Linked DNA regions of Bombyx mori. Each later gene encodes a partner of the first gene's protein in a complex. Links are inferred from orthologs where the notes say so. Each region holds a gene or a part of one and is shown on either strand. Other genes may lie near its edges.

What was found. The genes of interacting proteins can lie anywhere in the genome.
Region 2: actin-related protein 2/3 complex subunit 2 (region 1) and actin related protein 2/3 complex subunit 4 share a complex: the UniProt entries of both Caenorhabditis elegans proteins name them as parts of the arp2/3 complex. The link is inferred for Bombyx mori from reciprocal best matches to the Caenorhabditis elegans genes arx-4 and arx-6.

What each region holds. Positions count from the first base shown.
Region 1 is NC_085109.1:10,845,597-10,851,443, reverse strand, and holds the end of actin-related protein 2/3 complex subunit 2, read right to left. Parts: intron 4,873-5,847; coding exon 4,737-4,872; intron 4,064-4,736; coding exon 3,979-4,063; intron 3,196-3,978; coding exon 2,988-3,195; intron 2,234-2,987; coding exon 2,206-2,233; 3' UTR 234-2,205; downstream 1-233. UniProt on the Caenorhabditis elegans protein: Functions as actin-binding component of the Arp2/3 complex which is involved in regulation of actin polymerization and together with an activating nucleation-promoting factor (NPF) mediates the formation of branched actin networks.
Region 2 is NC_085122.1:8,791,447-8,796,647, forward strand, and holds actin related protein 2/3 complex subunit 4, read right to left. Parts: upstream 2,777-5,201; 5' UTR 2,709-2,776; coding exon 2,202-2,708; 3' UTR 1,923-2,201; downstream 1-1,922. UniProt on the Caenorhabditis elegans protein: Functions as actin-binding component of the Arp2/3 complex which is involved in regulation of actin polymerization and together with an activating nucleation-promoting factor (NPF) mediates the formation of branched actin networks.

The DNA.
Region 1 (5,847 bases):
ATGCGCCACCCACCTTGAGATATAAGTTCTAAGGTCTCAAGTATAGTTACAACGGCTGCCCCACCCTTCAAACCGAAACGCATTACTGCTTCACGGCAGAAATAGGCAGAGCAGTGGTACCTACCCGTGCGGACTCACAAGAGGTCCTACCACCATACCACCAGTACCTCTATCTGTATAGTATTTTAGTTTGAGCGACTTCGTTAAGTGTGTCGTGAATAAAACAAATATCATATTGCAGTAAGTTTTCTTTAATCTAGAAAATAAAAATACAGTATAAACGGATTTTTAAATCACAAGAATAATAATTACATATTCACAAATAACTTCCGTGTTCCGCACAGTCAACATAATCTCGCTTTAAAACTGACAGTAAAACAATAATCAAATGTAAGCAATAACTTTAAAGCAACATTTTAACTTACTTTTATTTTACATAAATAATATTTACTTAGCAAGTTTTCGAAAATAAGAATTACATTAAAATTTCAAGTTAGCTAACGTTTCATTAATTAGTTTACAATTGTGTCTACGTATGCCATTTTTAATTTTCATTCATTCAATTTATATATTTATTATTTCATGTCATGTCATAAACTTGCCACCGCGACCATTGACTTAGCGAATTACTTAATTCATATAAATCCCAACGTGACTATTAAGCGATGAACAAATCACCTTAGTCAACTTTCAGTCCACGACTCGATAATCTCTCATCCTAATATAATTAATTAAAACACTGTTATATTTTTTACTTATATTTTATTTTTAACACATTATTTTACCACGGCGAGTTTGGATTGCGTTATCATATTACAGTTACGAATTATTTGGTGTTTTTTTTTTCTCAATAATCCGAGCAACGTGCTCGCGCTAAGCCTACGACGCTAAACACGTGTCGTAAGAATGTTGCACCAATATGTTTTACTAAGCAAAAAATTGTATTAATAAAATATTGCAATAAAATTCGTCTAGGGTGAATACAAATGCTTTTCGGAATTTGCAGTGAAAACGGACTGTTGTTAATAGTCAAATATACATATTGCGTTTCTAACCTAGCGTCTCTACAGAACAATAATCGCATCGCATCGATCGAACTAAATCAGCATCACCATAAATAAGGCCATTACACATAGTTCTCGTGGTCTATGGAAGAATCTATTGTAAGGTACTATACATTTTCACTTATATATTAATTATAATTGATCGGACCTATCTAAAACGTAAACGGTAAAAAATACATTTAAACATTGTTCGTGTTACACGTAATATTATTATCATTGAATTATACAAAAATGTTAAGAAATAAATACAAGAGCAGTTAAATAATATAAAATGATAAAATAATTCGTACGAGTTTGTGCATGTTACCTGTCTCAACATTCATGTGATATACATTTTTACATCTAAAACGAATAGGTAAGTAAGTAGTGTGTCATAATAATTATTATATTACATTTTATTTCTAGACGAAGACCGGTAATTGTATTAACTTACAACAAAATTACGTTAGCGAGTCTCCTACCTTCGACGGAAACTATACAACATTATCTAGATATATATATATATTTCTGTATACGTAAAGTCGAACGCTAAACTTTAGGAACCCAAGTCTGGATGCGGAGCTTTCGTTACAATAAAGCACAACTTCGTCTTCGTCGACGATTACCACTACTGCAACATTAATTTACGCGCTACGATCACGAGTCGATCGAATAAATATTCATAAAATGTTCAAGTTTCCTCGCGTTAACTACGAAACGCTCTCGGCAGCACGCTAAATCATTGAGCACACGAGCGTATATTTGGCAAAAATGTTTCGTGAAAATGGCATCAAGACAATGTTATAATAAGTACTTTGTGACGTTCCGAAGGACACTCGGGAAGTGTAAAATATGAATAGAAGTAACACTTAAACGATCTTTTAAGTAATAAATTAATAAAAATTAACAATTTCGTTTGAATATTATCGAGCGTCGGACGACACTGCAATGCACACAGCGTCCGCTCGTGTATCTGACGACCGGGGTTAATAATTTAAAATTGTTCAAATTACAAGGTGGATTCAAAGACTATAATGAACGTTCTCGTCGTGACGTGCGAAGGGTGGAGGTCGCGTCACTGATGACGTCACTGATGACGTCACCGGACGACGGAGAACGCGCACACTGTGTTCGGCGTCTACCTTCCGCCGCAACGTAACACTCAATCTCTTCTCACAAAAGTTCTGCCCCTGTGCGAGAAAAATTTATATATATAAAAATGATTGCTGTTCGTTAGTCTCGCTAAAACTCGAGAACGGCTGGACCGATTTGGCTAATTTTGGTCTTGAATTATTTGTGGAAGTCCAGAGAAGGTTTAAAAGGTAGAGAAATATGAAAATGCTCGGAATTAAATAAAATTAACAATGTTGTTTTTCCTTTGATGTCCCCCCCCCCCCCCGTCGAACGGATTCCTTTTGTTTGTTTTAAGTTTATTTTATACAAAAGTTTAGGTCTTTTATTTGTCGATTCATGCACTACGTAGTCTGCCGGGTCAGCCTGATATAATATTAATGAAACGAAAGGTTGAGAGAATGTTTTTTTAAGGGATTTTGTGACCTTTAAGTCATGTCTTATTTTAATTTATATTCATATTTTTATGAAAAATTATATTAAAGTGAAATGAAATGAAGATGATTAAATTGAGAGAAATGAGTTCGTCGTCCTGGTGGTAAGACGTCTTGTGAGTCCGCACGGGTAGATATCATCACCCTGCCTGTTTCTACCGTGAAGCAGTAATGCGTTTCAGTTTGAAGGGTAAGGGAGCCGTTGTAACTATAGTGAGACCTTAGAACTTATATCTCAAAGTGGGTGGCGGATTTACGTTGTAAACGTCTATGGGCTCCAGTTACCACTTAACACCAGGTGGGCTGTGAGCTCGTCCACCCGTCTAAGCAATAAAAAAAATAAAAAAAAATCGTGTTAGGGCCGGCCGGCCGCACTCACGTGATGGTCTTGCGCTCGGAGGGGCGCGCGGCGGCGTGCGGGCGCGCGCGGTTGAGCACCTTGAGCAGGTCGCCGGCCTTGGCGCGCATGCGCGAGTGCACGTACACCTTGGAGCACTTGATGTGGTAGTGCAGGTAGTCGCGGAACATGTGCAGCAGGTCGATGGTGTTGTCGCGCGCCGCCGCGCACGTGTGCCGCGGGAACAGCACTGCCCAACACACACACACTCCGTTAAGCGATTACGTTTTATTCACTATTGTGAGGAGGTAAAGGAATGCGAGGAGCAATTGTCCCCATTAAAATGTGAATAATGTGTGTCTGTGTGTGAATCGCTTGATAGGCAGCAGCTTGGCTCTGCCCCTGGCATTGCTGACGTCCATGAGCGACGGTAATCACTTACAATCAGGAGGCAACTATAAGTCCACATTGTTGCCATTACTAAAAAGCAAGCAAATGCGTTTCAATTCGAACCTTCAACTCGTGTCTCTGCGTGCTCAGGCAGTAAATAAAAAAAACATTCGGTTGTACTCACGATTACAAAATTTTTTTAATTAATAATCAATGGTTTTTCTTTTCTTGGAATACTAAATGATAGGTAAGTAAGCACGCACAGTAGGCGACACGATCAAAAGTAACGCGTCTTGATTTTCAGTGTCGGATATGCGCTATGTAAAGTAACAAGAAATGTAAGAGATTATGTGCAGGAAAATAAAAGTTATTCAAAACAGAGATTTTCCAGTATGGTGGTATCTACAATTCAAATTCACAAAGGACATTTTCTGACAACCAACCAACTAATCAAGCAGATTAATTATGTAGATACGATTTTTGTTAATTGATATTATTCGTCCGTCATGGACATTCATAACATGTACAGTACATATTCAATTCTGACCTGCCTCAGGTTTGAGCCTTGACATAAATAAACACATGTTCACTCAATGTTTCAACCATCAAGCTGAACACTCAACTTAAATAGTTATTAACTCACCAAATGTGACGTAGCTGATGTTGTCACCCACTCTGGCGTCAGTGTCGACCAGTTCTAGCGGCGGCTCCTTGTGTGAAAACAACACCTGGATACACATGAACAAATCGTTAAGCTTTTAAATTCTTGTTACAAGTTTATTTGGGTGCATGACCTTTAAAATAAAAACTACAAAATAAATAGACAGTAGGCAAGAAGACCCTGATTAGCATCAAAAGAAATATTGATAGTACAGGACTTTATTGTAGTGATGATGTGTAGTGTAGACGTGAACGAAGGCTGATGGCCCCCAGTTCCATGTGCCTCAACCGTACTTGAGACATGAGATTGAAGTATTGTAAAATAATCTGTCGTGATGAACCCTGTTACGCCAAGTAACCTATTTTCGTGATTGAGGTAACCAACCCCTTTGGAGATATAGGTTGACAAGTAGATGTGAGATAAAAAGGGGGTCCGGTAATCTCTACTTAAGTCGGATATTTAGGCGTCGGCAGCAGGGCGTACTAACTATTTACACAGCATCACTGCGGTGCAGAAGGCAAGGGGAAACCACTGCACTACCCCTCCCAAGAAATCCTATGAAAGCAAACAATGAAACAAGAGTATTAGCATGAAATGGAAGCTGATGATACAAAGAGCCACGAAGGGCTTTCAGGGATACGACCTTCAGCAATGAAGTATGCGACTAAGAAGAAGAAGAAGAAGAAGAAAATAATATGTGCTGCTTAATATAGCATATATATTAAAATCAATATACTTACTTGAGGTGCGGTGTGCGACGCCCTTCTTCCCTCTTTCAGTTCTTGCATAAACACTTTCCCAATGACCATATCATCTTCGTGTCGAAAGACTGTTGAAAACACAACAGTCACGCGATCTTCCTGCGCTTCAACGTATCTGAAATAACACCATTTGCACATTTATCAATGACACTCCTTATCGGCCCCATACGACACTGCCAGCCAGTGAATTTATTTCAAGGTTTTTTGGTGTGGTCACCATTACATCACAGCTTGGCCAAAACTTCGAAAGACGTTGTTGAGAAAGCAAAAAATATTTTGGGATATAGACCTTTGAGACATGAAGTTGAGGTCTCGATTTTTTTTTTGCTTAGATGATTGGACAAGCTCACAGCCCACCTGGTGGTTAAGTGGTTACTGGAGCCCATAAACATCCACAACGTAAATGCGCCACCCACCATGAGATATAAGTTCTAAGGTCTCAAGTATAGTAGTTACAACAGCTGCCCCACCCTTCAAACCAAAACGCATTACTGCTTCACGGCAGAAATAGGCAGGGTGGTGGTACCCACCCGCACGGACTCAAGAGGTCCTACCACCAATATATTTTATTGTACAAGAAGTACAGATGGTACAGTACAAGAACGGGTCGTGCATTTTTTAAGTAGGAACGAAATTGGCTATTTTTATCCATACAAGAACATATAAGGTTTCTCAACATTTTTAAAAGTTAACTCATATTTGTATGCAGTTGGAACGTTTGCCTACATTTGCCGCTAGGGGCGCTGTTCCAACTGCACTGAGTTAACTATTACGCTATCGAGAACGTTAAAAAACTCGCACTAAGCAACTGAGCACTGGTATAGCTTGTTGATGGCATTACTTGATATACAAATTGTCTTAAATTTTAGGCAACCAAAAACAACTCAATATTCAAGACACCTATAAAGACATCAGTATTTTCACTGAATTTCAATTAGTATATTTATATATATATACATATACTAATATATACATATCGACGCTTGAAAAGCAAACGTGACTAAGCGACAATGCGTGAACTTTACAGTAGACTAATTTAAGGTTGAAATACCAAAAATTCTATTTTAATGTATCTAGCTGTAGGATTGAA
Region 2 (5,201 bases), on another chromosome or scaffold:
TAAGTAATAAAACACTCATACTTGTTTTTTGTTTTAGTCATATGTACGAGGCATTCCGGATTACGACTTTGTGATTGGTACACTGCGATTTATCAGAAATTCAAGACCAGCCAAAGACCCTAAAGAGGAGGCTCAAACCGAACCTTTTCAAGCATTTACAGGCGAAGGATTTACATTGCGTACTGCCAAGTCTAAGAACTAAAACTGGTTTTCTGTATCAGTACATCGTGGTATACGTTTGGTTGGAGTTAATTAAACAGCTACTACGTGTTAATTAAACCTGAATATTGTCAAAATCTGATGAAGAGATTGTTACTGATAATTTTTTGTTTTGAATATAAAAGTCCTTTGATATTGTGATATTAGTTAATTCTTTTTTGTAAATATATTTTATATTCTTATAGCAAATTCATTATATGCGTAGTAATAGACACTCATCCTAATATAAGTTGTATAGCAACTACAACTGTGTTAGTGACATTTTAAAAATCAGCTTAGCAACAAGCCCTAAACATCAACATTCGGACTTTTTGCCTACCAAGCAGCAAACCATTTTGATGCAAATCTTCTCGTGGCATCAATTCCCAAAAGTTTATACTCAGGAGTAAACTAGAAAAATGTAATTTGCCAAAGATCTCCTGTTTCTCCTTTTCTATGATTAAAGCAAAAAAACAGTACATAATATCATCATACCTTATAGATTATATGCACTAAAAGTTTCAGTATAACTTTCTGGAGTTTTAATGAGCAATTTATTTTAGCTTAACAAAAAGAAATTATTGGTGCTCAGTATGATAAACCAATAAATAATTATAAAAATAATGTAAGTTTTATAGTCAGGATTAATTCAAATAATGATATAAATAATTCAAACTACATGCTTAAGTAAGTTTCTAGTTTTATTTACAAAAAACTGATACAAATATTAGTGTTTCATAGACATTAAAATATGTCTATTTAGACCACCACCGTAGGTCATAATTGTGTTCCATCGGTAGATTCTACAAAGCACTACACTTGCTAAGGGCTAGTGTTAGCAAGTTCTTTCAGGTTGAACCAGTGAGCTCACCTACCTATCCATGCTGGAATAGCCAAATAGGCTACCAGCAAATAGGTTTACAAAAAAAAGACATATTAGTGTTATAAATACAAAAAATGTTTTATATTTAAATCTGAATTTAATTATACACATTTACTGCATTATAATTAAGAATATTAAAGTTTTCAAATTACACCAGAAATTAATTCAAAACTTACATAATCAACATTAAAACAATTATACCATAAAAATAATAATGTAAAAGAACAGGAAGAAACATTCACGCTATTTTTACTTTTTACAAATATCAAATTACAATAATTGTTTTTACCCATGAAAGCAGACAATCATGCTATCGACAAACAGTCTATGGTGGAATGTGGACATTGACAATTCAAGGAGCAAAATCAACATGCTGTCTTTGTCAAAAGGTATTACACTAAAGAACTTAAAGGGCTCCCAGTAGTATAATAATAGTCATAGATAGGACACTCAGCACATAGCACAATAGAATATGTCAACAAAGCCCCAATAATTATTAACATGTTGACTGCCATGTAAATCACCGGTGCCCTACGCGGCACACTGACGTAATAATGACGATTTTTCTCTTTGATCTACATATTAAAGTGCCGGAATATCTAGTAGAGTCTGGAAATGACTAATTCACAGGTACTAAGAATAAATCTATCTTTTAGAAGACCTAAAAGTCTAAAATATACATTAACAAACAAAAGAAGGCAAAGTTAGGTAATCCAGGCGTGTAGTAACAGAAATCAACGTAATTATTTCAGTGCGCCGCTTAGGGCACCAGTGACCTGCATTAAATTTTATATCTGTATGCAATGTATTTTCCCTGACCTCTATCTAAATAACGTAATATTTTTAATAGTTCAATTGTAGCCTGTAAGCACCTACCCATCTGTGCTTACCTGGAATAGGCCTTTAGGCTATCAAAGAATAAGTTCAGAAAAAATCTAGTTTCTTCTACAATTACATATTTAAATGTCATTTTTGTAATGATACAATTTATTTGTCTATGAAGGTTATATGAATTCCATCACTAATTAAAATTACATAGCCATCAAAGCAACAAATTTTTCACATGAATTCATACTCTATGTACAATAAAGATGTTTCATTCTATCACTGAAAGAAGTAGTTAAAATCTCTTCAAGAATTCTTCCGAACAAATTCTGGCTCTTGCATTGACAGCCAATTTCATTTCACTGATTTCTTTATCAATTTCTTCCATAAAGTATATTACAAAATCGACCAATTTATGCTTATACATCTGTTCGGTATGGAAGTTAGTAATCAAAAAGCTGATATGGTACCCATCAACTGGTTTCCTCCTTAATACAATGAAGTTTTCAGCTCTCATCATCATGAACCGCATAAATTTTTTACAAAGAATTTTCTCTATCTCATCCGCCTGCTTGATCATAATACTCACCCTAATTGAATTTATTGAAGACTCTATTAATACTTTTTCATTAGAATTTCTTGAAATAACAACAGGATTGAGTAAAAGTTCTTTGCTTGTTCTAACTTCGACCTCCGGCTTGGTGTATTTCTCGACAACTTGCGATGAAAAGTGTTCTAAGCACATAGCGGCAGTGAGCGTGTGACGCACCGCTGTTAGATACGGTTTTAAAGTTGCAGCCATTGTAGAAAATTAAACTTTCGCAAAGATCACGCCACACCTTAAGTTCCTTTCAATTTTTTAGTCATGAATTATCACCATTGATGACAGATTTGACATAAGCATCATTGTTTGATTCGTTCATTACATAGCCAAAGGTAAGGTAGGCCATACAGTCAAATCCAAGTGTGTTGTTGTGTGAAAATGTACTAAATAAAATTAAATGATTATTAAGGAATTGAATCTGAGGTAAGATAAGGTAAAATTGTAGGTATTGGATGAGAAATAATGAAATAACATCTCAGTAAAGTGGAGAGAATTTACTAAAATCTCTTAAATGCAGGGGGGTGCAACTCCCATACAAAGGAAAATAACATACAACTAGCGTCATCTTACTCCTGTGGCGACGTCATTTTTGTAACTTTTAGGCATTAATGATCTAATAAACTCACTAGATGGCATATATGAGTTCTGACTCAATAAAAAATGTAGCGTACTTTGAAGCAGTGCTTCCACTTTTAGGGAATTCTCCCTTTTTTAGGGAAAAATAGCTGATATTTTGGATGATAAAGACAATTTAAAAAATACCAGGATTTAGGATATTTCGGGGTAAAAAGCAAAGCCTATACTAGTAACTGTTGTGAATTTTAAAATAAACGATAATTAAAGTAAAACAATGAACATTTTATTTTATGGAGAGAGAATGACATTAAGTCGAGTTGACAAGTAAAAGAATAAAACAGAGTTGTGTATAAAAACTATAAAGGTTTGATTCAACAGTAACCTTCTAGTAAAGTAAATCATAGATTAAGCCACTGCTTTTTCTTAGGGATTCCCCAGAATCCCAATAAGTATAATCCGCCAAATTTTTATTTACCTATTTTCGTTGATGTCACCAGAACTTACTTGTATTGTAATATACAGGTACTTCATGTACCATGAAAGATTATCATGGTAATTTCATTTACGAAACCTTGTAATTGTCATTTCACTTTTGCTAGCAGTTCCTTCTTCAAAGACTGAGGTGGAAAGATTATTCAGTGTTCTCAAATTTAAAAACTGACAAAAGAAACAGGCTTTCTAATGAAACCCTGAACGGCTTGCTTCATAGAAAGTTCCCAACTTTGCCAGCAAACAATTGCTCAATTTTAGAACCGAACAGTGTTAGGTTGTGCAGCAAAAGAATATAAAAGCAATGCGTCGACTTCCTTGAAAATTCTAATCCTATAGATCTATGATCTTCTGGGGGCGTTTATATTATATATACCTACATTAAATAATATGCTGTGGTTTATTTTCTGTATTTTATTTACGCTTTCTATATAAAGGATTTATGAAAGTTGTCTAGGAAATTTTAGGGTAAATTCAAAAGAAACTAGGGTAAAATGTGTTAAAAAAAACGTAAGTGGAAACACTGCTTTGAAGTTTTCAAAATTCCAGGGCCGTAAAACAATCTCAAAAAAAAAAAAAGTTTTCAAAATGTCGTAACGATTTAATTTTTTAAATCGTTTTTTTTTGGTCTTGGTGTGAGTTATTTTACGTTGTAGTATTAATTTAGAGCAACTTTTAGCTTTATGAGAATATTAGACGATTAGACATTGAGAAACTCTGTTTTGAATTCTCTTTAGACATAACTTGGCTCCAATACTTTTTTCTTCGTTAGCGTTTCGTAAGCCTGTGTAACTATTTTCATTTCTTACAGAATGTTTATTATTAAAAATCAGCATGCCTCGAAGATCGAAAATGAAATGCTATTTCGGATGCCTTGATAACGGTGAGTTTACACTATTTTCCCGGTATATTATTTGCTAACAGAATTATTATTCATAATATAATTAAATGAATTAGCACCAACTAATGGTCCTTCCTATTTCTGCTGCCTAGCTATCATATATGTTAAGTTTTGATCAAAACAGTCGGTATTAAGTCTCGTACTATCACACACACACCTCAGATAATAAAATTGTCTCGAGTGGGTGGAAGTATTTATGTTTTGCAACTCAGCGTATTATATGCTTATTGTCAAGTGGGCCCGAACTAGTTTTTTGGAATGATCAATCAGTCATGCTTTCCTGTTTAAATAAAATACAGCACAATTGATCTCACATCCAAAGTTAGATGATGGCATTCACGTTTTGTTTCCTGGTGTTTGATAACTAAGTTACACCAAGTGGCCTGTGACCACGTTCATCCTTCTACCCAATATAAAATAATGTTTTTATTTTTGTAGACAAAGGTTTGATAATGACAAAATTTTATGGAAAAATTATAAGGAGCACTAAAATGTCTGAAACATGAAAAGATTGATGCACTATATTTGAACCAGAACGTGTTATGTAATATATTAATTTGTAAGTAAGATTACATTAACACTAAATTTTTCATGGTCGTATTTTTTCAATATTTGTTACATACTTAAGATACTTTGTTTCTCCGTTTCAGAAGAGAAACTGATTCAGCAAGGAACGTGAACTCTCAAGGGATCTTAATTTTTTTTAAATATGTTTATAATTGATA